Struthio camelus: one gene and its partners. The protein of the gene in region 2 interacts with the protein of the main gene of each other region in a pairwise test. Links are inferred from orthologs where the notes say so. Each region holds a gene or a part of one and is shown on either strand. Other genes may lie near its edges.

Region 1 (7,525 bases), on a different chromosome or scaffold from region 2:
CCTCCTGCCGAGTCCTGACAGGGCAGGGAGCACAGCCTGGCAGCTTCCTCTGCTGAGTATGTCTGTTCAGCCAGTGGCTGTAACCTTAGAGTGCCTTATTCTACAAAAGCAATCCCTGAAGCTAGCTGCTAGTGCTACCTGCCAGAAAGATGATGCCCTGTGAGGTCTCCACAAATCTGAGGCTCTTGCTAAGGCAGGGGCTCCTCTTAGCTGTTAAGCTGCTGAAATCTCACCATCTTTGCTGTTCACATCCCACCAGCAACAGGAGATGCTTCTCAGCCCCACTCAGTGAGCCAGCATCCACCTGACATTACCCTGCAAGGATGACTGGTGTTGTTTCAAAGCCTCCAACTCCAAGAAATCCATAACTGAAGCTGCTCAGGAGTAAATCCAGTCATAGGACCAGATCCATAAAAGCAACATAGACTGGAATGCATCCTACCTTCATGTTGTCAGGTGGGTCGCCCTGGCCCGTGGTTGCACACACAAATACCACCAACAGCTCATTGATGAGGTTCGCCTGTGCACAGACAAGCATAGAAAGGTGCACTCAGGTCAGCAGCCTACAAACATATGCCCCTAGCTAGCCAGACCCAGCTGATCATGTTAGATTCAGTTCATGGACAGACCACGCTTGGCATAAACCCACAGCCCCCGCATGGCACATCCTCCTCTGACAACACTGTACAGTCATCTGCTCCCCACACACACTGCCTGCAGCAAGAGATCGTTGGTGCTCCTTGCCTTGTAGGAAGTGCGCTTGATGAAACACTGGATAAGGCTGGGCATCTGTCATCTAACAGTGATTGTATCCCAAGAGTCACTGCTCAGTTTTCACATTTTCAGCTGAGTTAAGCACAAGCTGCCCTCAGGGAGGACAGAGAGGCATGATCTTATGAAATATAGGAGGTCATAGCAAGGGTGGGAGATGTCTGAGCCCTAGAAATGGGATTGGTAGAGATGGAGCAAGACTAGAACTGCCTGGGGCACCTCTCTGCATCACCACTCACCACATCATAGCTGTCCAGTGCCTCCACTCTGCACTGAAAGTGGCGTCGTTTGGCTTCTCTGCCAATTCTCTCAGCTGTGTCCTGAGCTGTCCCAGTCTGGCTGCCAAAAAGAACGAGGAGAGTCCGTTCTGCCATCTGAAAGAGAAAGTACCAAAGAAATCATCAAGAGGGGACTTAAGGCAAGGTAAGGGAAGGTAACGCTGGACTTCTCTCTGCTCTGGGCTAGCAGTCACCCTGAAACCTACCCAGGCTTCAAAGGAGTTCTGGTAGCTTTTTAATCAAGTGTACTTTGGGGGAAAGACACTGCATACTTTGGCAAACAGCAAGGACGGAGATAGTCTAATAGTTCAATGAAAAGGTCAGGATTCAAGCCTCCTGGGCTCTCTTTCCATCCTCAGAGAGCACTGAGTAGGTGACACCCTCTTCACCCAGCATCCTTGTCTGTAGGAGCAGGAGTGACAGTACTTGGACAGTCCTTGTCCTTGCTGCCAGGGCAAAGGGAGGGGGATGAGTTGGGGGTATAAAATCCAAGGACAGTGTTTCACATTCTAGCTCATTTTAGCTGGCCTCCCCACCTGCGGTCAGTACATCCTTGGAATCAGTCTTCAGGTTTCCCATTTTAACACATCTGTTTCCCCTAATGCCATGAGACCTGACAGCCGAGGAGGGGAGGCAGGCAGGAGCAGAGCCTGGGAGCTCAGTTTGACTAGACACGGTGCTCTCAACTGCAGGAGAAGACGCCTCCTGTGCTGCTCTCACCCAGCAACAAGGGGCCTAGGTATTACTGGAAATCACAGCACAGAGGAAATTCAACCCAGCAGGATGCCAGAGCCGCAAATTTACCGCACCCCTACGGGGAATGTGTACCACTTCCAGAAAAGCTGCTGATAAAAACTAAGGAGGGGACACTACTGGCCTTTCTACGGACCAATTCCTGCAGAGGGGCTGCAGCTCCAAGGGACCTTCCCCTTGCCCAGAGCCGAATGGATTTTTCCAGAAGAGCTGGCACATCCTATGTGCCCTTCTGGACATGCACACTGCTCGCTCAGCTCCAGGAACAGAACTGCTTTTCCCTGTGCACGTCTCTGCCACAACCGCCCACTGAGGAGAGGCAGGTCCCCCATCACCCCAGCTTCAGGGTCCCTCGGGGCGCTGCCCTTCGCAGCGGGAGGCAGACCCTACCGCCAACAAGCAGCGCCCGCAGGGGCCCGAGCCAGCTCCCAGCCCTGGGGGGAGGGAGGCCACCCTGCATGGGGGACCTCTGCCACAGGGTGACCGCCCCGGTCTGGGGAGCCCCGGGGTCTTCGGTGGGCAGCATCGGCCACCGCTCACCCAGCCTGGGGGCTCCTGAGGGCCAAGGGGGCTGGAGAAGGGGCACCTGTGGGAGGGGGGAACACCCTAGGGGAGGGAAAACCTCAGGGGGGCACCGAGGGAAGGGGGAGACGCCCCAGGGAGGGGGGGCACCGAGGGAAGGGGGGGCGCCCCGGGGGGGGGAACTGAGGGAAGGGGGAGACGCCCCAGGGAGGGGGGGCACCGAGGGAAGGGGGGGCGCCCCGGGGGGGGGAACTGAGGGAAGAAGGGGGCGCCCCGGGGAAGGGGCACCGAAGGAAGGGGGGCACCGAGGGAAGAGGGGGCGCCCCGGGGGGGGGCACCGAGGGAAGGGGCGCCCCGGGGGGGGGCACCCCGGTGCCGATCCCTGCGAGCGGAGAGGCGGTGGTTGCCGGGGAGGGACAGCGAGGACCGGGGAAGGCCCGGCGGGGCCCCAGCAGCGACTCCCAAAGCACCGCACCACCCGGCCAGGCGGCTCCGGGACGGGACGGGACGGGACGGGGCGGGGCGCCCGGCCCGGCTCGGCTCGGCTCGGCTCGGCTCGGCCCGGCCCGGCCCGGCCCGGCTCGGCTCGGCCCGGCCCGGCCCCGGGGCCGCGGCACCCACCGTGCGCCCGGCATCGCCGCCTCCGCTTCCGCCGACGTCATCAGCCGCCGCCGGGGCTGGCGCGACCTGCCGGCGGGGCGGCGGCTGATGGGCGGCGCGGGCGCGGGTGCGGGTGCGCGGCGGCGGCGGCGGGGCCTGGAGGGCCGGCTCGGGGACCTAAGGCCGGGGGCTGGGTCAGGGGCCGGGGCTGGGCCGGGACCGCGCCGGGGGCGGCGGGGTGGGTCGGAGGCCGGGCCGGGCCGGGGTTGCAGGGCCGGGCCCGGGCTGCGGGGTGCTGACGGCATGACGGGCTGACGCTGTCCCCCCGGCAGGGCCCGTGTGCCCGCGGTGGCGGTGGGCCAGGCCGGGCCCCCGGGAAGATGCTGTTTTCCCTGCGTGAGCTGGTGCAATGGCTGGGCTTTGCCACCTTCGAGATCTTCCTGCACCTCCTGGCTCTCCTGGTCTTCTCCGTGCTTCTCGTCCTGAAGGTGGACAGCGAAGGCTCGATGCTCTCCTGGTGGACTGTGTTCATCCCCTTCTTCGCCGCCGACGGCCTCAGCACTTACTTCACCACCATTGTCTCCGTGCGGCTCTTCCAGGACGGAGAGAAGCGCCTGGCCGTGCTGCGCCTCTTCTGGATCCTCACCATCCTGAGCCTGAAGTTTGTTTTTGAGATGCTCCTGTGTCAGAAGCTGGTGGAGCACACCCGGGAGCTCTGGTATGGGCTCATCATGTCACCCGTCTTCATCCTCCTCCAGCTGCTCATGATCCGAGCCTGCCGGGTGAACTGATACCGAGGGAAAGGCTCCCAAATGACTGCCTCTTACCCTGGATAGAGCTTTGCCTGAGCCACCAGGGAGCCCTGAGCTCCAAGTTTGCTAAGTTGGGCTTTTGCCCTTTTTTTGTTTTTGTACAGAGTGATATTGGTTGTTAGGTTATGCAGGTCTGGTGTTATGAGAAGAGAGTTTGTAATCAACCAGATTACGTTATTATGTTGTATAGCTCAGCATTTCTTCAAAAGATCTTTTTTATACAGCGCCATTGATTTCAGGTTCACTCAGCTCTTGATGTTAATGTTAATATATCCTGATATGCAAGCACTGTTTGATATGCCAGTTAATTTAAAATAAAAATGTACAGATAGTGTAGTTTTATTTATACAACTCTTTTTCCCTGGAAAGTATATGTAGTTGAAACTGCTGCCTGGAGAATAAGAATTATTTGGAGGTTAGTTGTTGTAGATATCCTTGTAAAACTCAAATGGCTACTAGCCTTAAACAATGAAGCTGTTATCTTGCTTGCCCTGACCAGTCTGAGGCCATGGTTTTAACAACGTGTTTTCTTCAGCGACAATCCTAGTGTAATGTATTCCCGTTTTTTCCTCTCATTTCCCTGAGCAATACTTCATGCCTTCACATTGCCAGCAAGATTTTCTGTGCGGTTGTACTGTGAGCCAGAGGGCACTGATGTCTATTTTGGAACAGAAGTATATATTTTTTTCTTTGTATTTCAGATCTATTCCCAAAATATAAAGGTGTTGGGAGGGCAAAGTATAAGAGCAGGAGCATGAAGAGCTGCTTCTGAAGGTGGGCTCTCACTGAATCACAGCTTTTGTGTGAAACACTGTCCTCAAATATCTAGAAATGACCCACCGTAAATGGGGGTAGTTTAGTCTTTCTAGGGGAAATAGAGATCAGCAAGTTATTGTTAGGTTCACAACGAACCCCCATTGCAAAAGACACTTTAGTATCATTTAGCTCCGACCGTGAGGATATTCAGGGCTATAGATCTGTCTCTTACCTATCTATGAGACATTGAACGTTACTTTGGTGCCCAGGTCCAGAGGACTGTTCTCCTTTTGACAATGGATTTTAGAGACCTCTGTACTATAATGATGACGACTATCGGAAAACACCTCCCAGCAGTCATGGGCTTCCTTTCCAACCTCAGCAGTGCTCTGTGACCCACCCCTGTCTTTGCCCCATCTACCTAGCTACTGGTATCATCATGTGTTCTCTGCTGCTCTCAGGTTTACATTTCATGGAGATAGGATCTTGAAATGGAGAACTGCTGCATACACCACTCAAGTTCAGGAGATGAGGTGGGATGTAACCAGCAGAGCATGCATTAAGAAAAAGTTGAGAATTGCCACAGTGCGGGACTATATTGTAATCTAACAAAGTCAGGTGCTTTTCAAATTGCATAAAGCAGATTTTCTCTGGCTTCATACCTGAAATCTAGAAAATCTGTAGTTACCTAGCCTCTTGTGTAACTTGTATTTGCTTTTAGCATTTTGGAAGCATGCGGGTAAGAAAGGACCAATTTTCCAAGTTTATTTTTCCAGTGTACTGATTTTATAAACTTGTGGCTGTGAGTTCAGAGCAGATCTCACTGGATATTCCCTTAACAGGTTCTCTCTTGAAAAAGCTATCCACGGTGAGAGGTCTGATGCTTTTCTAAAAATAAAAAAAAAAATAGTAATAATAAAAATCCTAGAGTCCTGGGGAAAAGAGCTGTGTTACAAACTGCCTCATGACCCCTGCACAAGGAGTGCTAGAAACGTTGCTGTGTTGTTAAATGGCATGAACTGCAGGCTTCAAAGCTTGCTGAGGCTTGGGGAAATCTGTGGTCTGACTTACAGGTCAGTCTCCTTTTCACAGCATGTTGAGCAAGAGAATTTTTGCACAGAAAAGAACTTAGAGGAAAAGTTAAGTGACAAATAACACCTTCCCAAGGGGCTGCTCTTGATTTGGAGCTGGAGTAAAAAGTCCTGTTCTTAGTCTTTGTGAGCAGATCCAAGCATGCAGCCTAAGAGGTGGTGTGGCACAGGAAAGCAAATAGCAACAAAGAGCATAATTCCACATAATTTGTCGTCATAATCCAGTAATGCATATCGTTTACTTTTCTGCTGCAGCCATTGGAGATAGTCTGATGGATACTGAATCTAAGCAAAGCTTCACCTCCGTTCGGGTCACATCTGGCTCCAGCTTTGGCCCAGTGACTCTAGATGGCCTATCCTGGCCTGGCATCAGGGTCTGAGGCTGAAAGCACAGCATAGGATCACCCATTTTTCTCCGTCCTGGTGCACCCTTAGGTGGCGCTGGGACCCAAGCGTTAGGTAGGACCTGGCCTCGCAGAAGCTCCTCAGCTCCTGCTTCACTTTGTTATGTGGTTTTCCAGGCTTCAGCACCATCCAGGTGCTGCCATAATGTCCCCATACACTTGTCCGCTCTGTCTGCTGGGAGCCAGCATCTTGCTCACTTGGGTCTAGCTAAAGCAAACCAAGGACACATCATTTGGAAGGAGGGCAGCTGGCTACTCCTTATCCTCTTCCACCTCAGGCCACTGTGACTTCATCCCTGCTGTTGGTGTCCCTGTGCTGCAGCTGTGCCCATGATGTGACAAGTCATTCTGAGTGTACAAGCTGCAGATATTGCATCACCAGCAGCTGCAGAGCTGCTCGTGTGAGCCTGGGGAGGGAGATAGCTGGGGGGTAAGGCCTGTCTGCAATAGGGGGTTGTAGGGGAGCAAGGCTGGGATGATCTGATGGGATTGCCAGTGTCTGCTGAAGGGCACAAAAAATCAGAGCACCAGAGGAGGGATCGTATGATAGGTGAAGGTTGAGGTGAACAGCAGGGAGCAGGAGAAGCAGTAGAGCCTCTGACTCAGGATGTGGCAGTAGCAGAGCTGCTTTAGGGACTACTATTGGACTCTCCCAAAGCTCTCCAGGCACTCAGCTAATTAAATCAAAGATGGGGCAACCTCCTCCCCTCAAAAATTCCAACACTCATCTTTCAGCCTTGGTGCAATGCTTTGCAGAGGAACAGGGGCAGTTTCCTGCTGCTGAGCCATGGCTTGGCTTGCCAGGGACTGTCAGAGCAGGAACAGAGACCTAACCTTACAAACAGCCATGTCACAGGGGTGTGGTGCCCAGGGCTGGCTGGATGCCACTGCTCACCAGGACAGAGGGGGCCAATGCAACATCTACCTGCATTCAGCTTCAGGCTGCCAGCTGCCGAGCTTTCCGGCAGCTCCTCCGGCAATTTGTGGCTATCTTTGGGGACAACCAGGAGCCAACATTTCCCAGCTCTGCTTTTCCAAGGTAAGGCAAGCTCCCAGGTGTGTCTGGGGGACACAAGGGAGGCACAGTCCCAAGCTGTGGCACGTGGGGTGCTGTACTCAACAGGGATGTGAGGGCTGTGTGCGTGGCCAGGGGTGGCAAGGTTTGCCTTGCAGCATGGACCCAGCCCTGCCCCTCTCCCAGGACTCACTCCTTGTGCAAAGGAGTCACTTTTCCCTCTGTGCCCAAGGAGAGCCAAGTCCCACAACAAAACTTCTTGGAGCCTTTGTGTCCCTTCTGCCCCAGCAACATGACACCCCAGGGATCCTGCCCACAGCTGGGGAGATGCAGGTGAGCCACAAAAGCTGCTCCTTTCTGTGAACATCCCCTCCAGTGAAAACTTTCTGGATAGCGATCAAAGGGCCCAGGGCAGAGCTCTGTGTAAATAATGTGGGCGAAGGGCTGTGAAGCTGGAGCAGGAATTACCCAGGTAGGCAAGCAAAAGCCTACGTGTTTATTCTCCTCATGTACAGACTTCCGA
Region 2 (6,872 bases):
CTCAGCCTGGCATTGTTCATGCCTGCTATTTTTAACGTGTTTTGTTCTCGTGCCGAGTTCTGCTTAGCTTAACTGCTTGTGAATTTTCTATTAAAACCCCTGCTAACTATCGTGCCGCAGCTGCGCTGCCAGCAGGAAAGTGCCTATGGTTTTTCAGGGGTGCGTGAACGCGAGCGACGGCTGCAAAGACCAAGAAAGCGGTGCGGGATTTACGTGGATTGTGAAAGAAAGCCGGGAAAACGGGGAAAAATGAGCAGAAACACGGAAACTGAGCTAGGTAAATATGGGGTACCGATCCAGCGTACCCATGAGCTAAGCCGCCCTCGGTGCTGGGGGGCTTTGTCTTGCTCACTGGCTAGAGCCAGCACAGCCTAATTGATAAACTAAGCTGGGTCAGCGTGTCTCCCAAATGCTCCTCAGAAACGATGCTTAATGCAAGCCAGTTGTGTCCCTGGGTGCCTTCCCTGGCAAGCTGAGCTAGCGTGGAGAAGAGGGGGCACGAGAGGCCTGGGGCCGTGGGCTTCTCCTCCGCTTGGTCCTCCCCGAGGCCGCTCGTCCCGGCCTCGTTGCTGCAGGTGCTGAGCTGCTTCCTGCGCAGCCTCTCGTGGGCCCCGTCAGGGAGCTCTGAGGTCTCCTTCCTCATCAAGAACGAGGCCTGAAGGTCTTCTCGTGTCTCGCTGGCTGCGTTGGTCCAGCCGGCTGGATTTTCTCTGGATTTTTGGCTTTTATTGAGCGGCTGGGGGCTCTCTAGAGAGCAACTGCGCCGCGTTTTCAACAGAGCGGGGGGAAAAAAGGAAGGTCTCGTGCTCGTTTCGGAAGCTGCAGCGGGGTAGATGCTAACGTACCTCCTCCAGGCTTGCGGGCGCGCTGAGGTTGGTCCGCGTTCCCCCAGCCTTCCCCTCTCCTGCCGCCGCAGCCCTTCCTCGTGGGCGCCCGTCCTCGTCCCACGTCAGGAGCCGCGTCCTGCCGCCCGCTGTAGCGGGGCCGCCCGGGTCTTGGCGAAACGTCCGTGTCCTGCTGCGGGGACGCGGAGAGCCGAAGCCTGAGCAGATGCTTCCTCGGAAGGAGTCCGCGTTCCCCAGCGAGAGCTTCCCTGCTCCTCCTGCTGCTCCATCCTGCAGTTTTCCCTGTGTGCAGATGTTGTGACAGGGGTTGGGGGGGGGGGAAATCGTGCTTTTCTTTTTTTTGTGCTAATATTTATACTCTCCCAACCTCCTCTTCCCTTCCTTCCGGAGATGTATTTAGGAAGCACCTCAGGAAGGGGTCAGGGAGCTGAGGTCTGGGGCAGCGATGAGCACGGACAAGCCAACCCCGTGTCCTCGAGGGTTTGGTGAGCAAGACTGGAAAATAGCGGCGGGGAGGGGGAAGATGATCTCTGCTCCGGAGATCAGCTCTGCTGCCCTCAGCGTGACCGCGGAGATGCCTTCTTGCTTGCAGACCTGTCACCTGGGCAGGGGTGATTTAGGGGAAAGTGAGGTTTATCCAAGCTATGCACCTTGCTGGGAGCTGCATCCCGCCGTCGGGGGAATCGCGTGACTTTGCATCTGCCCCCGCTTCCCCTCTGAGCATCTCTTCTCCCACGGTGCCGCTTTCATTGTCGCGGAGGCCCTGCGCACCCTCCTCGCTGGCCTGCCTCTCGCGGCCGAAGCGGCGCCTGTTTTAGCCAAGGGCGCTGTGAACGCATCAATCGGAAACGAGCACGTGCGCGAGGAGCTGGAGGGGGAAACCCATAAATTAATATTGCTAAGATGCAGAAAACCCAAGCAAACGAGCCAAAGCTGAGATGAAGGCTGTGCCAGGGTCAGAACAAATCCCCGCGCTCCGCAGCGGACCGCGGTTAAAGCCGCTGCTTGCTCTGTGCCTCGGTTTCCCCACCTGCAGAACGGGGCTTGTGCATAAACTCTCCAGCGTCTCCAGGAAGGGCTGCGATGTGTTTGCCTGGGCCTTAGCCCAGGGCCTCGCATTGGGCAGCTACCTGAATTTTTCCTTTCTGGATGGGAAGAAATGCATTTATTTTCATTTATTTTCAGTCTCTCTATTTTTTTCCTCTCTCTCCAAAACCACACGCACCTCCTATGCTCGTTCTCCCCGCCTTCTCCTGCTTGCTCCTCAGCAAGGAGACTAGCAAGCTCTTCAGCATGGTTGCCCTTTGCGCGATGTTTATCCCCGGGGCGGCCAGCACCCCGTGGCTGGGTGGCAATCCCGTAATCGGCACGCGTTGGTTGGGCGCCTCACCCTGCGCTCACCTCGCCGCCTGCCAGCCCCGTCCCAGCGTCTCCGTCTCCGCTGGAGTGAGACGGCCGGCGGGGAGACAAAGGAGAGGGCTTAGGACGAACAAGCCCCTCATTAAAGAGTTTGGAGCCAAAGACACATGTCGGAGGGGATTTGCAGCAAGGGTTTTGAAAAGCCCTGGGGGGCGAGGAAGGGGGTAGGTGCTAGGCGGGCGAAGCGGCTTTAACCCCTTGCGGTGGGAAGGACGGGCAGCGGGTTTGCTCCGAACGGTTTGAAACCCGCTGCGGTGTTGACCGGGTGTTAACCCCTTGGGAGATGGGAGCGGTTTAATAAAACCCGCTCCCTGGCTTTGGAGGGCACGCGAGCGGAGGTGAGGCGCGTGGCAAGCCCGACCTGTCCGAGTGGCTTGTGGCAAGTCAGCTGCAGTGATTTGAGCTCTGGGCTGGGCGGATGATGCCGCGCGGAGCCCGGTGGGCGCAGTGCGGGGCACGGGGAGCGTGGCGTGGGGGGCTTCGGCGCCTGCTGGCTCTTCCCCTGCGCGGTTGGGGTCGTGCCCAGAAGTGCCGCGGCTCTGTGCTGTGGCCGGAGGGTCGCTCAGGGCTCTCCTTGCTGCGTTTTGTAGCCTGTCGGAGGGCTGCTCACAAATTCTGGCCCGCTACCGTGCGGTTGGCACTGTAGGTTTGGTGATTTTCACGCTCAGCAGCAGTTTCCCCGCGCCCCAGGGACCTGCTCTGCCTCTTTGGTGGCCTGCAGACGAGAACCGTGGCTGCGGCCCAGCCGCTGGCCGGATGTCGGAGCGGGAAGAGCGAGCAGTGCCAGCGAACCGCGGGGTCTGCAGCCAGCCCGACGCCTGCGGGGTGAGGAGCAGCTCTTCGCTCGGCCCCGGCTTGGTGCGGGCAGGCACGTTTATCCTGTTGGGTTTAGGAGCCACCTTGGGAGGCTCAACCAGCTGCGGGAGACGTGAGCTTGGAGTCCTGCGCCTGCGCGGGTGCTGGCTGAGCCTCTGGCCGGCCTTGCTGGGAAGCCGTCCTCCCCCAGGTTATTGTCCCCGCTTTCGGCGCGGCGGGGGGAGGCTGACGGAAAATCCTTGCGCCTCCTCGACTTGCAAATGAAGGCAGCTTCGGTCAGGTTTTCATTAGCACCTCATCTGGCTGCGCTGCTGGCGGATGCCGGGGAGCATCCCCGCGTCCAGCCGGGGTGCTGGGGGCCGTCGGGGCCGGAGCTGCTGGCCAGGGCTGCGGCGGCAGAGCCCGGCGTCCCTCTGTGCTCCGGGGAGGTCTCGGGGGGAGCGGGCCGTAGCCCGGTGTGAGCACCTGTGCGGCAGAGGTGAGCCGGGTGGCACGGGCTCCTGGGGGTTTCTCACCCGGGGGTGTTTTGTGTCTGGTGCAAACGGGCTGGGAAAAATCCCCTCTTGCAATGAGGATTTGTAACAGCTCCAAGGCCCCTCTGGTTTGGGAATTTGTTTGTTCCCTTCCTCCCGCCCCAGCTGCCGTGTGAGTGAGGAGGGGCGAGCGGAGGGGCTGGCTCGCCCCAGCGTGGTGCTGACAGCAGCGTCCGGAAGAGCCCAGCCTGCTGCTCCTCGTCGCGGCTCCATCTGCCAGCGGAGGCGCCCGCCTTCGAGATGCGGCCGCCATAGGGCTGAGCTGAGGACGCCCGCGCTCGTGTCGCTTGTGGCCGGCGCCAGCCCGCTGGCTGCTAGCGGCGCCCCGGCGGCCGCTGAGCCTGTTGCGTTTGATGCCGTCGGTGCGCGCCGCCCTGGCAGGGGGCACGGTGCAGGCGTGGGTGCGGGGCTAAACCGGAGCAGCTGGGAGGAGAAACGTGCTGGCTCGCGCGGGCTGTGACTAACTCGGGCACGGTCCTGTCCCCCCCCGCTTCCATGGATGAAAAACAGCAGCTTGCAGCTCTGCTGTGTCTTATCACATCAGCTGGTGCGAATTAATGAGCGGGAGCTGGGGGGAGCCGTGCATCTCCTCCGTTTGCCCGGCGTTAGGCTGCGATCCCAATTCCTGCAGAGTCCTTAAATTGCAAAAATGCCCGGTGCAGCTAGAAGGGGGGGCAGAGGGGTCCGGGTGGACCGGCAGGAGCGGGAAGGGCCCGAATCGCCAGCAAATCCGCTCTCCGTGGGGCCTGGCCGGAGAAGCCCGGAGCAGCCGGCCGTGCCGCCGGCCCCGACGTCTCTTCCGCTCGCTCCCAGCAGGTCCCGGAGTCCCCCGCCGGGGAGCAGGAGGTGGCCCGCGTGCCGGAGGCTGGCCAGCGGCACGTGGCCCGCGAGGGGATGGAGGCCGTCACCGTCACCCTGCACGGCGCCAGCAACCTGCCGGCCACTCGGGAGGGCCGGGCGCCGCGGCCCTACGTCATCGTGTGAGTACCCGCTCGCGGAGGGACGGGAGATGGGAGCGTCTCGGGCTGGGATAGGACCTCGGTGCGGGCAGAGGAGCCGAGACCCCTCGCCAATGGGATGCGAGGTCTAAAACAGCACCGGGGAGCCCAGAGGACGGGACGCTTTGCATTACCGGAGCGCTGGGAAGAAAGAATTGGTAATATTGAAAGTATAAAGTGATGTCAAAGGATCCACAGGGTAACGCTGCCTGGGTCTGGAGATGATCTCATAATAAATAAAAGAGCGTTTTAATAAATAAAACAGGATGCTGGGGTAAGGAGAAGTTGGCTCCTCGTGCATTATGCATGTGCCAGGGGACTCAATTAGCCGGCCGTGCTTTGGTCTGTGCTAAGAGGGAGGACGCTCTTTGCTAGCGCTGGTGCCTAGGTGGGATCCCACAGCCCTGCCAGGGGGCAGAGCAAATTCGGCACCGCCTGGCGAGGAGGGGGCGCGTAGCTCTCGACGCCTGGCTCTGCGCAGCTGGTTTTGCCACCGCGTTGCCGAATGCGTCCCCCTCCCTCGGGCTGCTCGGAGCTGCGCAGCCAGGAGCCAGGCAGGCGCACGGGTGGCTGGCGAGAGGCAAGCGGGCCAGAGCCCCGGCCCATCGCCTGGGGAAGGACCAAGGTGATGTCAGCTGGCCTGATGCCTCCTCAAAACCCATCTGCAGCACTCTGCGAGCGTGCAAAGCAAACTGTTGCTTGCTGGGCATCTTCCATGCTAGAAACCCCAACCTGTGGGGCAGGCGGCTGGATGCCGGTTTTTAGTGCGGTTGCTCGCAGTTCAACGTGGCTGTCTGGATCGGGGAAAGCGGCAGATGCTGCTTGCCGAGCGACGGGCTTTCCTCAGCTGTTGCTGACTGGCATCTGCAGGCCGCCAGGAGCTGGCTGGCGCGTGGGATGGAGGGTTTGGCGGGCCCACGCGTCTGCCTTGGCTCTCGTGGGAGAGGGGATGCCGTCGCTTACGGGGACGAGGCGTGCGGTGGGCTCGCAGCTGCCAAACCACTGGTGGTCTCAGCCCATCGAGCAAAGGCTTGTCCCTTTGCGCCTTGGAGAGCGGGTCTAGCCTCCCCTTGCTGAGGTCCTCCTCTGCTCCAGCCTGGACCTGAGGGATCCCCAACGGGGACGCGCGCTGCTCCGGAGATGTGGGAATGACCAGGAGAGCTGCAGTGGGCTGGTGGGACACGTGCCTGGCTGGGAGTATCTATGCACCGCATGTCCATCCACTTGGATGGAAAACTCTGCTCCGCTGCCCATCTCCAGCATGGCCCTGCCAACGGCACCCGTTGCCCGCGGAGGCGGTAGCTGAGCTCATGCCCTTCCGATGCCCCTTCGCCGCTTTTCTGCCCGCCGAAGCACGAACCGAGGGCCTGCTCTCGCCCCCGACAGCCCACATAGCTCCACCACAGGAGTTGTCTCCATTTCCATAAAGCAATTATACCCGGCTAATCTCAGGAGATTTAAACATCAATATCCTAAACGATAGCACGAGGGTGGCGTGTGATTGTTGCGTCTTTCTCTGCATCCTGATGCCTCTCCATCAGCGGGTTGCCACGGGAACGGGAGATCGCGGGCGGGAGCGATGGAGAGGAGGGGACGGGGCCCTCCAGCCCCACTGGCATTAAGGATGCAGGACACATGATGGGCCTTTTAGTAACCATAGTGAGGGCGTCAAGGCAGAAGGGAATCGCTTATTATTTTGCGGGGCGCTGGCTTTTTAAGGAGAGTAGCATGTTGCAGTTCAAAGGTGGGCCTCTGAGCAGCGAACATGATGGCTCTGAAGGAGAAGAGAGTGGTGGATGTGCTGGTGGGGCCCTGGGGTTAACCTTTCCCAGTGAAGCAGCCCGGGACCATCCCAGCCACGGGCCAAGAGAGCTGAGCCAGCCCGAACGCAAGCTGGATGGGTAGTGCTAGCCTTCAAGAGTAGCTGTTGCTGATCTGCAGATGGGTCAAATGCTGATCCTCTGTGCTAGCTGTCTGTTGTCCCATGCTCCTTGCAGAAAGGTGCATCATGGCCTCTCGCCAGGCCTTTGGCTGCCTGCCCAAAGTTGCTGCTGACCTCGGTCTCCACCACATAGTTGGCAGGGGCCTCTCTTTTTGGTGGGACAGTCGTGCATGGGCATTTGTGCCCAAGGACATTGGAAATGTCACAAAATCCATTGTGGGAGGAGTGTAAAACCACTCCATTGTCCCCTATGGGAAACCTCCACAGGGTCTGCCGTGCAGCAGGGTGGAGGCATCTTTGCTGCAAGCAGAGCTAGAAA
Region 3 (7,229 bases), on a different chromosome or scaffold from region 2:
GAGCCTCTGCTGTCTTAGTACCAATGGTTCCTACTCAACGTTGGTTCCCATTTCATTTCGCTGTGCCACACTACCCACCTGTGCTCCCTGTTCCGGGAGTCTCTGCAATGGTGGAGGTTACCACATGCAAGCAGCAAAAAGAGGACAAAGCACGGTCCCAGTAAGGGGGACCCAGCAGGGCAAAACGTTGCCCAGTGCAGTGGTGTCTCTGCCTAGCCCCTGAGGGGTTGGTGAGATGGGCTCTGTCACCGAGTGAGTCCTTGTGCGCCTCACTTCATGTTCCTTACCTCCTGCTCTGCCAGCAACTGCTGGGAAGGTGGACAGGCTCTTCACGTGCAGCAGCATGGCAGGGAAGAGGCTGGTCTCCAAGCAGAGGTCTTTTTTCCTGGGTAGATTAACATGGAGAAGGTTTGTAAAAGGGTGAGAGAGGGTTAAGGAAGGCCGAAGTAGACTAGGGGTTCAAGGCATTGGTGGAGATGGGACAAAGAGGAAAGAGCAGAGATACAGGTGCAGATGTAGGTAGGGAGAGACTTATACAGAGCGTTCCAAGAGATGGAAAAACTACCTTCCTAGTATGTATCTTTCCAAAAATTAACCATGAATGTTGCCTAATGTCCTTGTTTCTCCAGAGAGGGCTGCGGCACTGAATTTTGCAGAACTGGGGTGCTGAGGGGAGCTCCAGGCCCTCCAGCCTCATCTTGTTCCCCTCCATAACACTAAACCCTGACTTCACTGCCACAAACAACCTTCTACAAATCATTCCCTCTGTTCTCCTGGAGCAGCCTAGGAAAGGGACAATCCTCTGTTGTGTTCACTTTGGTGCCAACCGAGAAAATACAGAGCTTAGGCAGCTCCTCTCTGTCCTCAGGCTGGTGGATGGACTCTCTCCTCTCACCAAGTTTCGTTCAGGCTTTCCTGCAAACCTTCTTTCTTGGCAGTTTGCCCCTCAAAGAGCAGCAGCCATGGAAAGTGGCCCTGCAGGCCAATGGAGTGCGTGCTGTAAAGTCAATCGAAGCAATTGAATTATTTCAAGGGCCTGCCATGCTCTTATAAAATAAATAGCAAGTTTCCTAATGACAGAGTGACGATCAGTTTAGCTAGATAATTGTATTTGTGATGCCAGCAGGCTGGACTAATGACAGACTGTCCTGCTATCAGCAAGGATAGTGGTGCTGCCTTTGCTCTCTGCAAAGGAGTGGAAGCAAACCCACCCTGTTGCTGCCAGACCCTGTAGTCCTGTCATGATAGTGCCGTAATGAAGTGGTTGGAACATCTAATTAGATATTTTTAGACTAAATATATCAGTACCTCTCCAGCTGTGAGCATTGCAGTGCTTCCGGAAAGCATTCTAGGGGTAGACTGGAGATTGTGAGGTCTCAGGAGGAGAGAGACAGGGAAAGAAGGGGGCTTCGCAGAGTGAAGGGGTACTAGAAATGATGTCGGTAGCCCTAGGAAAGGCAGAGCCTAAGTCCTGATGTTTCAGCTCCAGGAAGTCTGCTTGTGTGCAGCTCAAGGCAGGCCCATCTGGGTGATGGGAGCCTGCAGTGGAGAAGGCAGTTCTTGCTGGGGGACACATACTGTCCTGAGTCGTCTTCTGTCCAGCCTCTCTGGCTCTTATGTCCACAGGCTCACCCTAAATCACTGGGGAAGCAGAAGAGCTTGAGAGTGCTGTGAAGCACAGCCCTGATGGGCATGCCTTGGTTTCTAGAAAAGGGCTATTTGAAGCTTAACACTGCCAAACTGATCAGGTGTGGCAGCACGCTGAGGCACACAGTTCCCATATATTGGTGGCTCAGGTGTGGCTTTTGGTAGGCCATAGTTTATATATGCATTTTTCGGTTTTGGGTATGGTCCATTGAATGCTTTATCAATATCAGCCATAAGCCCTGGGCTGGGAATTGATTTGCTGCCTGGGGCTGAATTCTGAAAGAAAAAGGAGCCAATGCTGTGGTTTCTTTATGCAACCTGTCTGACCTTCCTTTCTTCTTAGTCTTTTTACCCTTGCAAAGTCCTTCTCTGAGCCCCAAGCATCACTTGTTTTTCTGTTGATGCATATTTTATTCCTTTTCTATTTTGAACCATTGCGTTAGAGACCTGGACAACTGGAAGGATCCTTGGGAGAAGAGCAGCCTCTAGAGAGCTGGGCTGTATGAGAGGGGAGCATATGCCTTGTGGGTTTGAAGCTGGTGGGGTCTGTGTCTCTTCTTGGCAAGCAGTGGCACTCTTTGGGAAGTTCAGTGCTGCTGTTGGGGCACAAAAGGCATATTTAATGTGATGCTAAACCCAGAGCCCTTCCTTAGCCCATCTGGAGCCTGTGGCAGATCTCCCTGAGCATACATTTCAGGGTTTGAGCTGTCATCACAGTAGTGGATTGTAGGAAGCTTTCTCAGATATGCACAGCTGGGCTGTAGTCTGCAGCTGGGCCCAGGTCAGGACTCAAAGTGCAAGTTCCCAAAGTGTACAGCCCCAGGACAGTACCCCTCAAAAACATGCTTGCAGCATCTCTCATTTGCAAAAGCACATTTCAAGGCCCTGCATGTCCTTCCCACCATCTGTGTTTTGCAGAGGTTGGCCCTGAAGATCTTGCCCCTTTCCTCTCGGCAACCATCCTCCTGCCACCTCTGTAGGCAGAGGTGTCTCTGGGAGGACTGCCCCGCCCAGACGCGCTTGCAAAAGGGGAGCTATTTTTAAAGTTGCTGAGGAGCTGGCGCTGGCGGGGTCGGTGGTGGTTTGTTCCCCTTGCTCGGCAGCACTTGCTGGGACATGTCAGGCATCGCGGCTGGAATCTCCTAGCACCGCAGCTGCTCCTGCACAGCCTGGTGGATTCCTGGTGGAGGCAGGGAGGACTCTGCCAGGAGGCCAGGCTGGGGTGCCAGAAGGCTGTTTCACCCCCCTCATCAAGGACTTTCCCCTACTGAAAGCTTTAAAAGAGGAGGGAGGAGGGAAGGAAGCTGTGTGAGAAACTCATTTCCGTTGTATGTCTGGAAGCTGCAGCTCATCCAAGCCTCTCAGGAGCGCTGGGCTGTGAGGAGGGCAACCGCCTTTGTGCTGGCGGCATCTTTGCGAATGACTAGACTTCATGGCCTTGCCCACCAGGCAGGGGTGGATCGAGACTGATTTGTCTGTTGTTGCTGCCCAGCCTGTCACATGCTGTGTTAAGTCGCTGAACGCTTCCGGGCAAAATAATCCTCCAGCCAGCTTGGCCACGACGGCCCCTAACTAGGGGTAGGTTTGGGGTTGTTCTTTCCCCAGAAGTTGCTGCTCCTTCCTTTGTCTTGGCTCTGGGCCATTAAGGAGCTAGCAGGTTGATGAATCTTGAGGAGCTGAGGACATCGGAAGAGTGGACAGCTTGGAAACAGCAGAGATCTGGGATGGGAGGCAGAGCAAAGGTGTCTCGTGGAAAGAGGCAAAGGCTGGCTGGGGATAGGGACAGATGGAGGGCTGTGATGTTGCTCAGGTGCTCAATGCTGCATGGCAAGTCCCTCGCAGCCAGAAGGGAGCCAGTCTTCCATCAGGCAGCCGTTGTAGATCTTAAGTTGCCCCATCTCAGTTCCAGCTGAGACAAAAACGATGCAGGAGAAAAGGTCTTGGTGGTCCGGGGGCTCTGGGACATAGCTGGGAACATTGTGAGAGATTTTTGTCACCAGACTGATTTGTCTGCCAGTGGCTGCAAAGTCTGCGTTATCCAAGGACTTGGGGATGCTTGTGTACAAATAGGCTCACAGACAAGTCTCTGGCCCCCAGCAGGTCCCCATGGCTCATGCTTGCCCTGCTGGTTGCAGTTTAACAATCCGGTACTGAGTACAGCCAGGGCATGGAAAAACTCTCCTTGCTTGGCACAACGAAATGGGGGCTGGGACAGGCAAGGCCCTCTTCTCAGAGGGCCTCCAGCTCACGCACAGAGACTCTAGCGGATGTCTAGTGGGGTAAGAGCAGACCCCACTTGCTCTTACCGCTTACCTCAAATGCAGCCTGTGCCGCACAGCCACCTACTCTGTGCCACGGGCACTGGGGCCGGGCAGCGTGTGGAGATGTGTTGCATGACTCAGTGCCAGCTTCTCCTGCTCTCTGAGAAGCCTGCTCTGCTCCGGATTTTCCCTCTCTCTGCTGGTATCGCAGCAGTCCTCTGAGTGTGATAGAGTGCAGGCTTCCCGGGGATCTCGTCTGCACTCGCACAGCCTCTCTCGTCTCTGCACAGATCACAGCAAAGCGCTGGTCCCTGCAAACTCCTCCCTCTCTTCCTCAGACAGTTCTGCCCTGCGCGGTCCTGCTCCGTGGGGCTGGGGGGGCAGGAGGTGACCCTCCTCATGTCACCGCTCTCCTGTCTGCCTCGGTGCCGTCTGCATCACCTCCGCGTCCTCAGAGGATGAAGAAGGTGGAGCAAGGTAAGATGAGTTCCTTTTAATGGCTTATGTGCTATAAATAGCCACATCACTCTCAGACGATACTTGGGTGATGTGACGGAGCCCAGGCACTGGGCAACGCACCGCCTTCCTTGCAGACACACCCAACACTTGGTCATTTGAGCTGATGGAAAAGGGCTCCTGCAGGTCCTGTCTGTGACACAGAGCGTGTCATCGCATTAGCACGCTGTGGGACACCTCTCAGGTTATGCACAGCGTAATCCCATCTGGCAACAGCCGAGGCTGGTGTCCTGCAGCTAGGTTGGCGCGCGTGAACGCAGCTCGCTGGCAGAGGCAGCCAGGCACTTGCAACAGGGAGCCTCTACCCTGCAATGAAGGTTGGGCAGTCTGCCTTCAGCTTGCACCAGGCTGTGCCTGGGCAAAGGTGGTGTGTCGGGGTCTGGGCCATGGAGGCACGGAGGTTTCTTTGGTACGCGCATCAGGTCTCCTTTTTGGGAAGGATGGGGAAGGTGGCTCTTCTGCAGGGAATAAGCAGCTCAGGGAGAGAGAAGTGGTTTCCCTGGTGCTAGTGAAGTGCCTCCATGGTCCCTGAATGCTCCTTCACTCCCTCCTCCTAGGCTAGGCTGTAGGATAGAGTAGGTCAAAAACCCTTGGTCCTCCCTGTTTATCCAGGCTATCTTCAGAGCAATTCAGATCTTGGGGCTGTCTGGTGCCTTCAGGGAGGAGTTTTACTCGCGACAACAACAACATATTTCCTACCTCCTGAATATCTCATACCTCTTGACCACTGGTACTGGAACCAAGCACTACAGGCAGCTTCCTAGCTTACGTGTACATGAGGATAAGCAGAAAAACACAGCCATCTCCTTAGAAAGGAAGCCTCCCCTCGTCTAGCTGCAGACAGCAAGTGCTAAGGCACAAAGCTAGGTGATCCCCAGCTCACAGCCCTCTACTCAGTGAACAAAATGATCTTCTCGTATAGCCTCCTGCAGGGAACGTGTGCTGCTGCCGAAGGCTTCTGCTGCAGCCATCCACTCAGAGGGGTGCGGCTTGGTCCTGATCCTCCCCCGCGGTGAGAGAGGAGTCCTGGATGAGCAAAGGTACCAGTATTTCACTGGAGGCAGCGTAGGGCCCTTCCCAAGCTGGCCAGGCAGCACTTGTGTGGGGAACGAGGAAGTCCTTCCCTCCCCTGCTTTTTAAAAAATAAAAGTCACTGCCTCCACGGTGAGTGATGTGGTGATGACGGCTCGTGATGGGTTACATGTAAAATCCTTTGCATCCCTGAAGATGCTACCAGTTGAAAGCTTTTATGGCATTTTAAAAATAGCCACAGAGGGGGAGAATGAGAAGATGGATGGGGAGGTGGATCCCTAATAAGGAGAGAAGAGGAAACACAGCCAGAGAGGGAATGGAAAGACTTCAGTGAACGGCATGTGAGTGATTACTGGGGGCAGGGAGTGGTGTGGTCATACTGTGCTGCCGCACTGCATGCCCAGCGGGAACTGGAAACCCTATAAAAAGCCTGGATGTGAGATACGCTCCTCGCACGTGCCTGTGAGGGATGGGGTCAGCATCAGCTCAGCTCTCTCTCCTGCACACACTCACTCCATTCTACAAGTAGCCATTAAAAGTAATCCCTGACTTTAGATAGCTGGCCTGGGCTCACTTCTGCCGCTTTTGTGTGATTCCCTGAACATCTCCAGGCTGATCTGTGTTTCTTCTCCTGCCTCGAGGCATCAGCCTGGCCAGGAAGCTGACAGATAAAGCTGTCTCTGGCCCTCCCAAAACATGGCCCTTCACACCTGGGCTGAGCTGAAGTGATTTGATGAGAAAGAGGTGTGCTAAGGGCTAGGTCTCTGTTCTGTCTTCTGGGTTTCTATGATCTGACAGCTCGTGGCACCCAAAGGCAAGGTTTGGTTGATCTGGGGCCCTGGTGGAGTTGTGGTGGCTCCTGCAAAGGCCCAGTTTCCCAGCACTTGGCTGTCACAGTGGTCCCAGGGGCCTTGGCAGAAGGTCCCCTTCTGCAGGAGGGGCTCGGCTTTGCCTTGCATCCATCATGTCACCGGTCCCGGGAAGTGGTTCCAGAGCTGCTGTGCAGCCTGGGCCCATCCCTGTGCTTGTGGCAGTCCTCCCCCATCACTCAGGGAAGATTATATAGAGTGTCTCCAAGAAATGCTAATTGCTTTGGCTTACATAGCAGAGCCACTGGGCATTCAGAGCTCTTAGTCAGCTCAGAGATCTGCCAGAACCTTCCTCTCCTTCCCCCAGAAAACTAGCAGAGGTCTGAAACATGCCATTGCTGATTGCCACCTGCACGGGCCCCAGCTGAGCTGTGGGCCTACACATGGGATTAGCCTAGGCTCCGAGGCACTGGCAGTCTGAAATGCCCCTGACGCAGGGCATGGTGTGGTCTCGTTGGAGCCTGTGGCATTGCGGCCTTGGGTGCGAAACACCACGAGCTCAACCCCCAGCAGGCAGAGCGTGGGGTCAAATGCATCTCTGCTGTTGGAGCAAGGGTGGTTGGAGAAATGACAGGAGTTCCCCTTCCTGGGGGAAAAAGCCTGAGCATGATGGATCTTGTGCTACAGCAGAAGCCTTCAGCGTTGTTCTGCCTTGTGTCCTCCTCAGACCCCTCTGCCACTGCCACCCTCCCCTGTTCTGCTTGTGCCACTGGCAATTAAAACTCTTTGAAGCCAGGCTGGCGGAGCTGCGTTTGGTGCTGGCTGTTGGGAAGCATTCCTTGGCTTTCCCTCTGGTCGTAGCACAGTGAAAACGCTGCAAACAAGACTCCTCTGTCAAACTCGCCAGCCTGTCACATCCAGGCCGTCACCCCCTTCTCTCCCTTGCTTGCTTTTATTCTTTCTT
Region 4 (7,547 bases), on a different chromosome or scaffold from region 2:
TTACAGTAGCAATGCTAGTAACATAGATGACTCCATCAAACTGCCGAGGGAAGTTGTTTTTTCCTTCAGATTAACAAGCCATCAGGTCCGAGTAACCTGCTTATACTGCTGAGGAATCACTCATACAACTGCTGCTAAATGAGAGTCTCCCTCCATCACACAAACCCATTCACAGACAGAAAAAATTCTGAGGTTTCCACAAATGGAAACACTCAAATAGAGAACCGGGGGGGGGGGGGGGGGGGGGGATGGTAAACGTGCTCCTACAAATACACATTTGGAAAAGATGGTGGTTCTGAACGAAAAGGTTAATGTACTTTTCTGGCTTTGTTTCCACTCAGGGTTCTGCAAACGAAGATCTCTGTTCTGCGTTTCAGGATCATTGGTGGGCTCTGATTTGATAGACACAAGGCAAACCTATACTGTCCCTATATGCTCCCTCCCTCTAGTCTCCTTAATGATTCAGCCTGGGCTTAATCTGTATCAACATTGACTTCTTGCACAAAAGTAGTAATGGGACTTTACCTGTTATATTTTATGTTAAAGGAATAACTCACTTGAGAATCTAGAAGCAGTCTGAACATTCCCACAGAAGATATGAATAGCCTAGCGTGCAATAGTTTTGTTTGGCCAATCTCAGGGCATCATAAAGCCCAAACAGGTATCACCAGTTAGGAAAGTTCTCAAACTCAATCGGATCATCCCACACTATGGGGATAGGAAAAAAAATGGTTAATGGATGATCCATTTACTACCTCAACATATAGCGAGTCCCATCAAAGCAATGAGATGTTTCCAGATAATATGAGTAGAATAAGGGGCTTACACAGTACCTAAGTAGTCACACGCCAGTCATTGGAGAAGAGAGGCACAAGACTGCAGGGCTCTTAGAAGTATTTTTCAGCCATTTCTCTGGGCAACTAACTTATTTACATGAACAAATAGAGGAACTGTTTGCATGGGCAAATCAGATATACCAAGGAGAAAATAGTCTGCAGACTGCATGTCTTTTGTGACTCCTGCAGTGACACTTTGGAAAAGAGTCCATTTCCACCATAACTTAATGTCAGATGGACATGTGTGAATAAGAGGGGAAGATGAAGGCACAAACTTGCTGGCAAAACAAAGCAAGATATGAAAAAAAAAAAAAAAAAGAAACGAAACAGACTTTACCTCACCTAATTCTCAGCCTAAGGCCCTCATCACCAAATCACGATCTGAGTACACACTAACAAAGGACACAGCTAATACTAATTTCTAAGACAATAAAGAAGATTAAAAAAAGAAGGTCAAAAGAATAAAGATTACTTAAATAATTATCATAATCCCAAAGATTTGACTTAAAAATTTTAAACCATATTTAGATCGCTTTCCTGCTTAGGGAAGAATGAGGTCCTACTTTACCACCTGCATCCAAGACACTCCCTCATCTTCACTAAAACTAACATAATTTAATCCCCCTTCTTCCTCCAGCCTCCTTGCAGGAGCTTGTAAACATGTCCACCCTCCTCTCTGCCCCCTTCCAGCTCCATCAGAAACGCCCTCTTGCTGATTCCTGCTTTACAATCTAATTCTTAACAAGGCCCCTTGAAAAAAAAGGCCTTCAAATATGAGATCATCAGTTTCCCTCTTCTATGTTAGATAGAGGAAATTAGACAACCCCACATTGTATCTCATCTCACTATGCCATCCTTTTCTGATTTCTTATCCTCTGTATCTGCCTCTCTGGGGCTTCCTGAATAAGTGTTTTGGAGAACACTCCTCTCCCCCCGCTTCTGCTTTTTCAGTTGATAATTCCACAGCCATGTGAGATGGCTTGGTCCCTCCTCACCTCTCTGCTGATAATTTTGAAACTGAGAATGTAACTCAAGTCTGCCTCCCAAGTCACTTATCCACATAACCTGTAAATGGACAAACACACTCTTTCCTCTGAAGTCCTTTACAACCCCAGCTCCAAATTTACTATCATTGTTAATCACATCTTTGTCTATGTCACTTGAGCCCGTAATCCAAGATGAAGGGATCATCTTCAGTAGCTTCTTCACACACACACAGCATATTTTGCCATTTCCTTCTCCACTGAGTTTTCAGATGTTTTTTCATTTCAAGAGAGAGAACCAGGAACATCACCTCCCACCCTTTTAATCACAGATGACTCTGCAGAGACCTCCTTGCTGCCATATCACACATCCATTGTGAATTTGCCTGCTCTCCTTCCCCTTTTCAGTCCGTATTCTCACTACCACGACTACCTTGCCCTTCCCAACCAATCTGAGCCGTTTCACTCCTGTCCCTTCTAATCTCCCATCGTTTTTCAGCACATCATTTTAGCCGTACCAACTCAAGCCTTCCTTCGACGGTAACTCTGTGCTCGGAGTGCCCTCCCTACGTCGGAGGGGGAAGACACCACGTTCACTTAAATCACCTCGAATGCAACCCGTGCAAGGCTAAATCACGCACTTGCCCCGCACATTGAGAACACAACAGGAGGGAAACGGAGGAGAAGCCGAGGGAGAGAAGAGAGCCGGGCGGGGGGGGACGGGGACCGGGAGCCCCAGCACGGGGCCAGCTCGCCCCGGCCCCTCGCCCCGGCCTCACGGAGCACACGCACTGCGGCGTCCCGCCGGCCGCCTGCCCCAGCGGGAGCCCCGCGCGGCGCGGTGCGCGTGGGGGGGGGGGGCGCCCACCGGAGCCCAAGCGGCCCCTCAAGCCGCAGGGCGCCGCCGGGCCCGCTCCGGCCTCGGGGGCTGCCCCGCACCGGGGCTCCGGCCGCCTCCCGCCGCGGGGGCGCGGGCCCGGCCGGCGGCGGCGCACCCGGGGCGCTCCCGGTTGCCGCCGCCCCGCTAGGAGCCCCGCCGCGGCCCCCCCCGCACTTACCGGGCGCCGCGGAGCGCGGCCGGGGCGGCGGAGGCAGGGAGAGGCGCCCCGGGCTCCTCCCGCCCGGCCGCCGCTGCCTGCACGCCGGAAGACCCTGGCCTCCGCGCGGCGTCACTTCCGCCGGGCGGGGCCGCCGCCGCCGCCGCCGCGCCACCGCCCTCGGACCGCACTATTGGCGTGCGGCGGGGGGGGGCGGGACGGACCATTGGACTGGGGCGGGGGGGGCAAGCGGAGAGACAAGGCGGGACGGACCGAACCACCGGGACGGCGGCAGCGGGGGGGAGGACTGAACCAGCGAGGCGGTGGGGGGGGGAGGTTCCCCGCGGGGGCTGCCTGCTGCGGCAGCCGAAGGTGGCGAGGCCGAGCCCACCGCCCCAGCCCTTCCCCTCCGGAACGGCGAGCCGGCGGCGCGAGACCGCCCTCGGGGCGGCGGGCAGCGCGGCCCGGACCTCCGCCGGCGTCACGGCTCGAGGGAAGCCGCTTACAGCCGCCACTATCCCGACCTGCTCCGCGCCCGCCCCGGCATGCCGCGGGGCCGGGCACTGGGGTAAAGGTCGCGGGGGGAAGGGGGTGGTGTTTGCTCGGCGGGGACGCAGCGCCCCGCTCCCTGTCCCGGTCTCAGCCCCGGCTCCGCTCGCCGCCGCCGCCGCCATGGCGAAGCAGGTGCAGCCCATCAGCCCCGTGAAGAACTTCTTCGCCGGCGGCTTCGGGGGCGTCTGCCTGGTGTTCGTAGGGCACCCGCTGGACACCATCAAGGTGAGGGGGCGGCCCGGCGGCCCGCCGCGCGCTGCCGGGCGGGGCGGGGGCGGTCAGCGAGGGACTACACTTCCCGGCGTGCCCTGCGCCCACGGGAGGGGGAGAACTACCCTTCCCGGCGTGCACTGCCGCGGTCTCTGAGGGGAGACTACACTTCCCGGCGTGCCCCGCGCGGGGGGGGGGGCTGGTGAGACGGGCGGGACGCCCCCTGCGGGCGCGGCGGCCCTGCCGCCCTCCCGGCGCTGGGCTCGGTAATAACAATAATACGTTAATAAGGGTAAATCGGAAAAGTAACGCTGCTGACATCATCAAAGCAATCGGAAATCGTTAAATACGTGAAAACACAAGTCTCTTCTCTTCTGCAGATGTCGAAAACATTGCTGATCTCTTTGCCAATAACGTGAAGTCTGGTCACAAAAATGACTGCTTCCTAGTCACATAGACACGTTCTCTGAATCAAAGCTTAGACAGTAATATTTCGTAAAATAGTGTTTTCTTATCTCTTCTTGCCAGGTTAGGCTGCAGACCCAGCCCAAACCCCAGCCCGGTCAGCCTCTGCTCTATTCTGGGACCTTTGACTGCTTCCGAAAGACTCTGGTTAGAGAGGTACTGTGCGAGCCTGTCGTTTGCAGTGCCTGCCAAAAACGTCAGTTGTCCGTGTACGTCACAGCAATGGCATGGGGTGGGAATGCCACCCCCTGAGATTATAAAATTCTTGGGTTATCAGCTGAAGTGAGTCTAATTGAAATTTTTCAGCAGATTACAAAACTTGAAGGGAGATCTATTTGGGGAGTATGTACTATCCATTTCTTCTAAATGAGCGTCTTTTTGCTTTGTTTAGAAACACTGGTGGCTCAAAATACTGTGATATTAATATCCGAAGCTAAAGACCGGGGTTAGCATTGGCAGTCGTTTGCTGGCTTTGTTGTCGTAGGTGGTGGAATCTCGTTGTCTTTGGTATTTGGAGCTCTTTCTGGAAGTCCTAAAATAGGCAATGACTTTTGTTAATAAAAGCAGTACTTTACATTTCTTCTGTAATACGTTATTATACCATCTGTGAGAAGGTGGATGAGTAAGTGTCAGTTTGAATTCCTAGTGTGTTTTTGTCTTTTTTTTTAAAAAGGTCAGAGGGACCATTATAGTAACTTTGTTTGATCTTCTTCATAAGGTGGACGTTGGCTTCCACTCTGTGACTCCTGAATCAGCCCATGTCATGTGATTGAACTATAGTCTATTTTTTTTTTAGAAAGGCATGCAGCCTTGGTTTAAAGACTTTAAGTGACATAGAATCCACTTTGCTGCTTGGTAAGTTTTTCCAGTGGCTATTTAACATTTGGAAAAAATGGGTTTAATGCCCAACTGTTTATTTGCTAATCTAAAGTTTAGCTCCTAACCATTGGATATAGTTGGGTCACTCTTTTCTGAATGAAAGAGCTATCTCAGATCAGAAATCTTTTTGTGATAGGACTCATAGGTTGCTACCTAACCAAAGTAAATCTTGCTTCCCTTGTCTCTCCCACAAAGCACTGAAAAGCTTTAGTAGCTCTCTTCTGAATCCCTTGCAATATTTCAACACCTCTTCTGAAGCATGGACGTCAGAGCTGAACTGTAATAACACTCTTCTGATGTGAAGTTCAAAAGTAATGCTGCCTCTCTGCTCCTACTCAATACTCATCTGTTTCTATAAGGAAAAACTGTTAAGCCTCTCTGCTAAGACCTTTTACTTCCTACTGCTTGTGGGAAGATTGAGCAGGCGTGTCTGATCTTTGTCAACCAGATAGGATTTCATTACACAGTCAGTTGTGCCAGGAAGCATACAAGCATATATTGGGATACACTGATTTTAGAGGGGGAGGAGGGGCAGAAAATATTTAATTTCTGCATCTAGCCTCTATGTAGAAAGATAATTCATAACTCTCCTTTTAATTAGAAAGGAGTTGGTATCCTCAGTTGAAAGGCAAGATAAATGAAATAAATGCTACTGCTGGGGTCTGTATCAGAGTTTGTTCCAAATATGCAGTCTGATGATGTATTTTTTTAATCTAAAGGGAAACATCGGGGATGTAAAGTTGTATCGTGAAAAGGTTTTAGCTTAGGGAGGGAAAGCAAAAATAATCTGCTCTTGAACTCGTTCCAAGCTGAGCTCATCTGGGGAGTGAAGGAGTTCAAGTTGGTCTCCCTGGCTTTATCTTTACCTAAAGAATGAATTTGATCCAGCACTGTCAGGCTTAATATCAGAATTTTACTGTTATGTTGCGTTTGATGACTTCTTCGTAAAGCATGTGTGGATTTTTTTTTAATGTATTTGAGAGAGAAAACTTTGGACATAATATAACAAGACTATTGTTCAGGTGGCTTTTAACTTCCTTGTATTTGGGATGTAAGTACAGGAGACCACATGAACAGTATTGGAAGAGAAGGCTGAAAATGGTGCCAGTGTTTTCCAGGAAGGATGGCCTTCCTTTGCAACAGGTCCTGAGCCTCAGTTAAATGTGCATTATCGCAAGTGAACAATAGATCCCATTATTCCTCTAATTAATTGGACTGGCTGACTCTAACTCTGATATTATCCTGTGTTTTAACCTTTTTGTTTCTCAGTAAGTCGAAACATGTGCAGAGCGTTATGTAAAACCAAATAATTCTTGTGATGACATTTTTTGCAGGGAGTCCGAGGCTTGTATAAAGGAATGGCAGCTCCTATTGTTGGAGTGACACCCATGTTTGCTGTCTGCTTCTTTGGATTTGGCTTGGGAAAAAGACTCCAACAGCGAAAACCTGATGATATTTTGACGTGAGTTTCTGAGTTATTCAGACGTTTGGGAAAGGCACCCTAAGACTCTGGCAGCCTGCTATGTTGTCGCACATTGAGTTGTGGTGTAAATTTGTCTCTTCTCCTAGGTTATAAATATAGCTCTAAAAAATAAAACATGGGTGTGTTTTAATGCTTCTGGAAGCGTGGGACTGATAGCACAGGCTAAAAACAGACAGCATGTGGGCAAGTGCTATGCAATTCCCTTTCTACGCAAGAAGAAGCCATTAAAGAACAATTCCATTTCAGATGAATGCAGCGTGAATTATATAATGACTGCCTGAGAACAGTCTCACTATTAACAGAAACTATGGAAGAATTAAATTCATGGTCGAGCAGTCTTGATAAAATTCAGTCACGAATCGTGATTCTCCTTTCCCTACTAGCTGTGACTCTTACTGTGCCCATAATATTAGGATATAGCAATAGCCATAGAAGTACTTCACGATTAATTTCAGAAAAGCGGTGTTTATGAGCAGCCCTGCTCTGTGGCACGTGTAACCTTCTGGAAAAGGTCCTGTGGAATGAAGCTTTTCTTAGTCCCTTTCAACCCAAAGGATGGCTAAATCTTCTCTGAGAAGCTAGTCAAACTTTGTGTCTCTCTTCAGGTTAGCTTATGCATAAGGAGAGCCCCCCCCTGCCCCCGAAAGTACTCCCTTTCTTTGCTGAATTGAGAATTACAGCTCTAAAGGAACAGAACTGTAGCTTAGCAACATTTTATTCTATTATTCATACAATGCCTAGGAGTCCTGTCAGAAAGCAGGAGCCCATTGTGTTAAGCCAAGCGTGGAGGGGTGGGGAGACACTGTTTCTGTTGGAGCTTTGCCTGCACAGGGAGGTGCCTCAGTGATACAGAGTACACCCAGCTGTGCAGCACTAGCCAGCCGCTCCCGCGACACAGAGCAAGCTGCCTCTGCTTGGGTCGCGCAGAGGGAGGGAGTGCTGAGGCACTCCGGCACTGTTTGCTCACTTCTTTTACCACTGTAACTGACTTCCTCATGTGGACGAGGCTGAAGGGTAAGACCGGAGGGAACCGGTGAGGACTGGAGAATACAAGGAAGCAAATGGTCCGTGGGCTCATTGCCAGCATCCTAATCACCTCAAT

The links.
Region 1: the proteins of CCDC33 (region 2) and NDOR1 interact in a two-hybrid assay, tested with the Homo sapiens proteins (2 studies listed by BioGRID and IntAct). The two-hybrid records come from large-scale screens. The link is inferred for Struthio camelus from reciprocal best matches to the Homo sapiens genes CCDC33 and NDOR1.
Region 3: the proteins of CCDC33 (region 2) and ABLIM3 interact in a two-hybrid assay, tested with the Homo sapiens proteins (2 studies listed by BioGRID and IntAct). The two-hybrid records come from large-scale screens. The link is inferred for Struthio camelus from reciprocal best matches to the Homo sapiens genes CCDC33 and ABLIM3.
Region 4: the proteins of CCDC33 (region 2) and ARIH2 interact in a two-hybrid assay, tested with the Homo sapiens proteins (2 studies listed by BioGRID and IntAct). The two-hybrid records come from large-scale screens. The link is inferred for Struthio camelus from reciprocal best matches to the Homo sapiens genes CCDC33 and ARIH2.

Annotation. Positions count from the first base shown.
Region 1 is NC_090961.1:12,913,805-12,921,329, forward strand, and holds the start of NDOR1 (NADPH-dependent diflavin oxidoreductase 1), read right to left. Parts: upstream 3,003-7,525; 5' UTR 2,946-3,002; intron 1,795-2,945; exon of another isoform or gene 1,586-1,794; intron 1,146-1,585; coding exon 1,011-1,145; intron 521-1,010; coding exon 443-520; intron 1-442. Other genes in the region: TMEM203 (transmembrane protein 203), read left to right, coding at 3,305-3,715. UniProt on the Homo sapiens protein: NADPH-dependent reductase which is a central component of the cytosolic iron-sulfur (Fe-S) protein assembly (CIA) machinery.
Region 2 is NC_090953.1:23,678,173-23,685,044, reverse strand, and holds the start of CCDC33 (coiled-coil domain-containing protein 33), read left to right. Parts: upstream 1-3,868; 5' UTR 3,869-4,262; coding exon 4,263-4,593; intron 4,594-6,872.
Region 3 is NC_090954.1:7,751,930-7,759,158, reverse strand, and holds the start of ABLIM3 (actin-binding LIM protein 3), read left to right. Parts: upstream 1-4,217; 5' UTR 4,218-4,366; coding exon 4,367-4,385; intron 4,386-7,229. UniProt on the Homo sapiens protein: May act as scaffold protein. May stimulate ABRA activity and ABRA-dependent SRF transcriptional activity.
Region 4 is NC_090955.1:10,214,117-10,221,663, forward strand, and holds the start of ARIH2 (E3 ubiquitin-protein ligase ARIH2), read right to left. Parts: upstream 3,004-7,547; 5' UTR 2,878-3,003; intron 709-2,877; exon of another isoform or gene 558-708; intron 1-557. Other genes in the region: SLC25A20 (mitochondrial carnitine/acylcarnitine carrier protein), read left to right, coding at 3,529-3,633, 4,147-4,239, 6,297-6,424.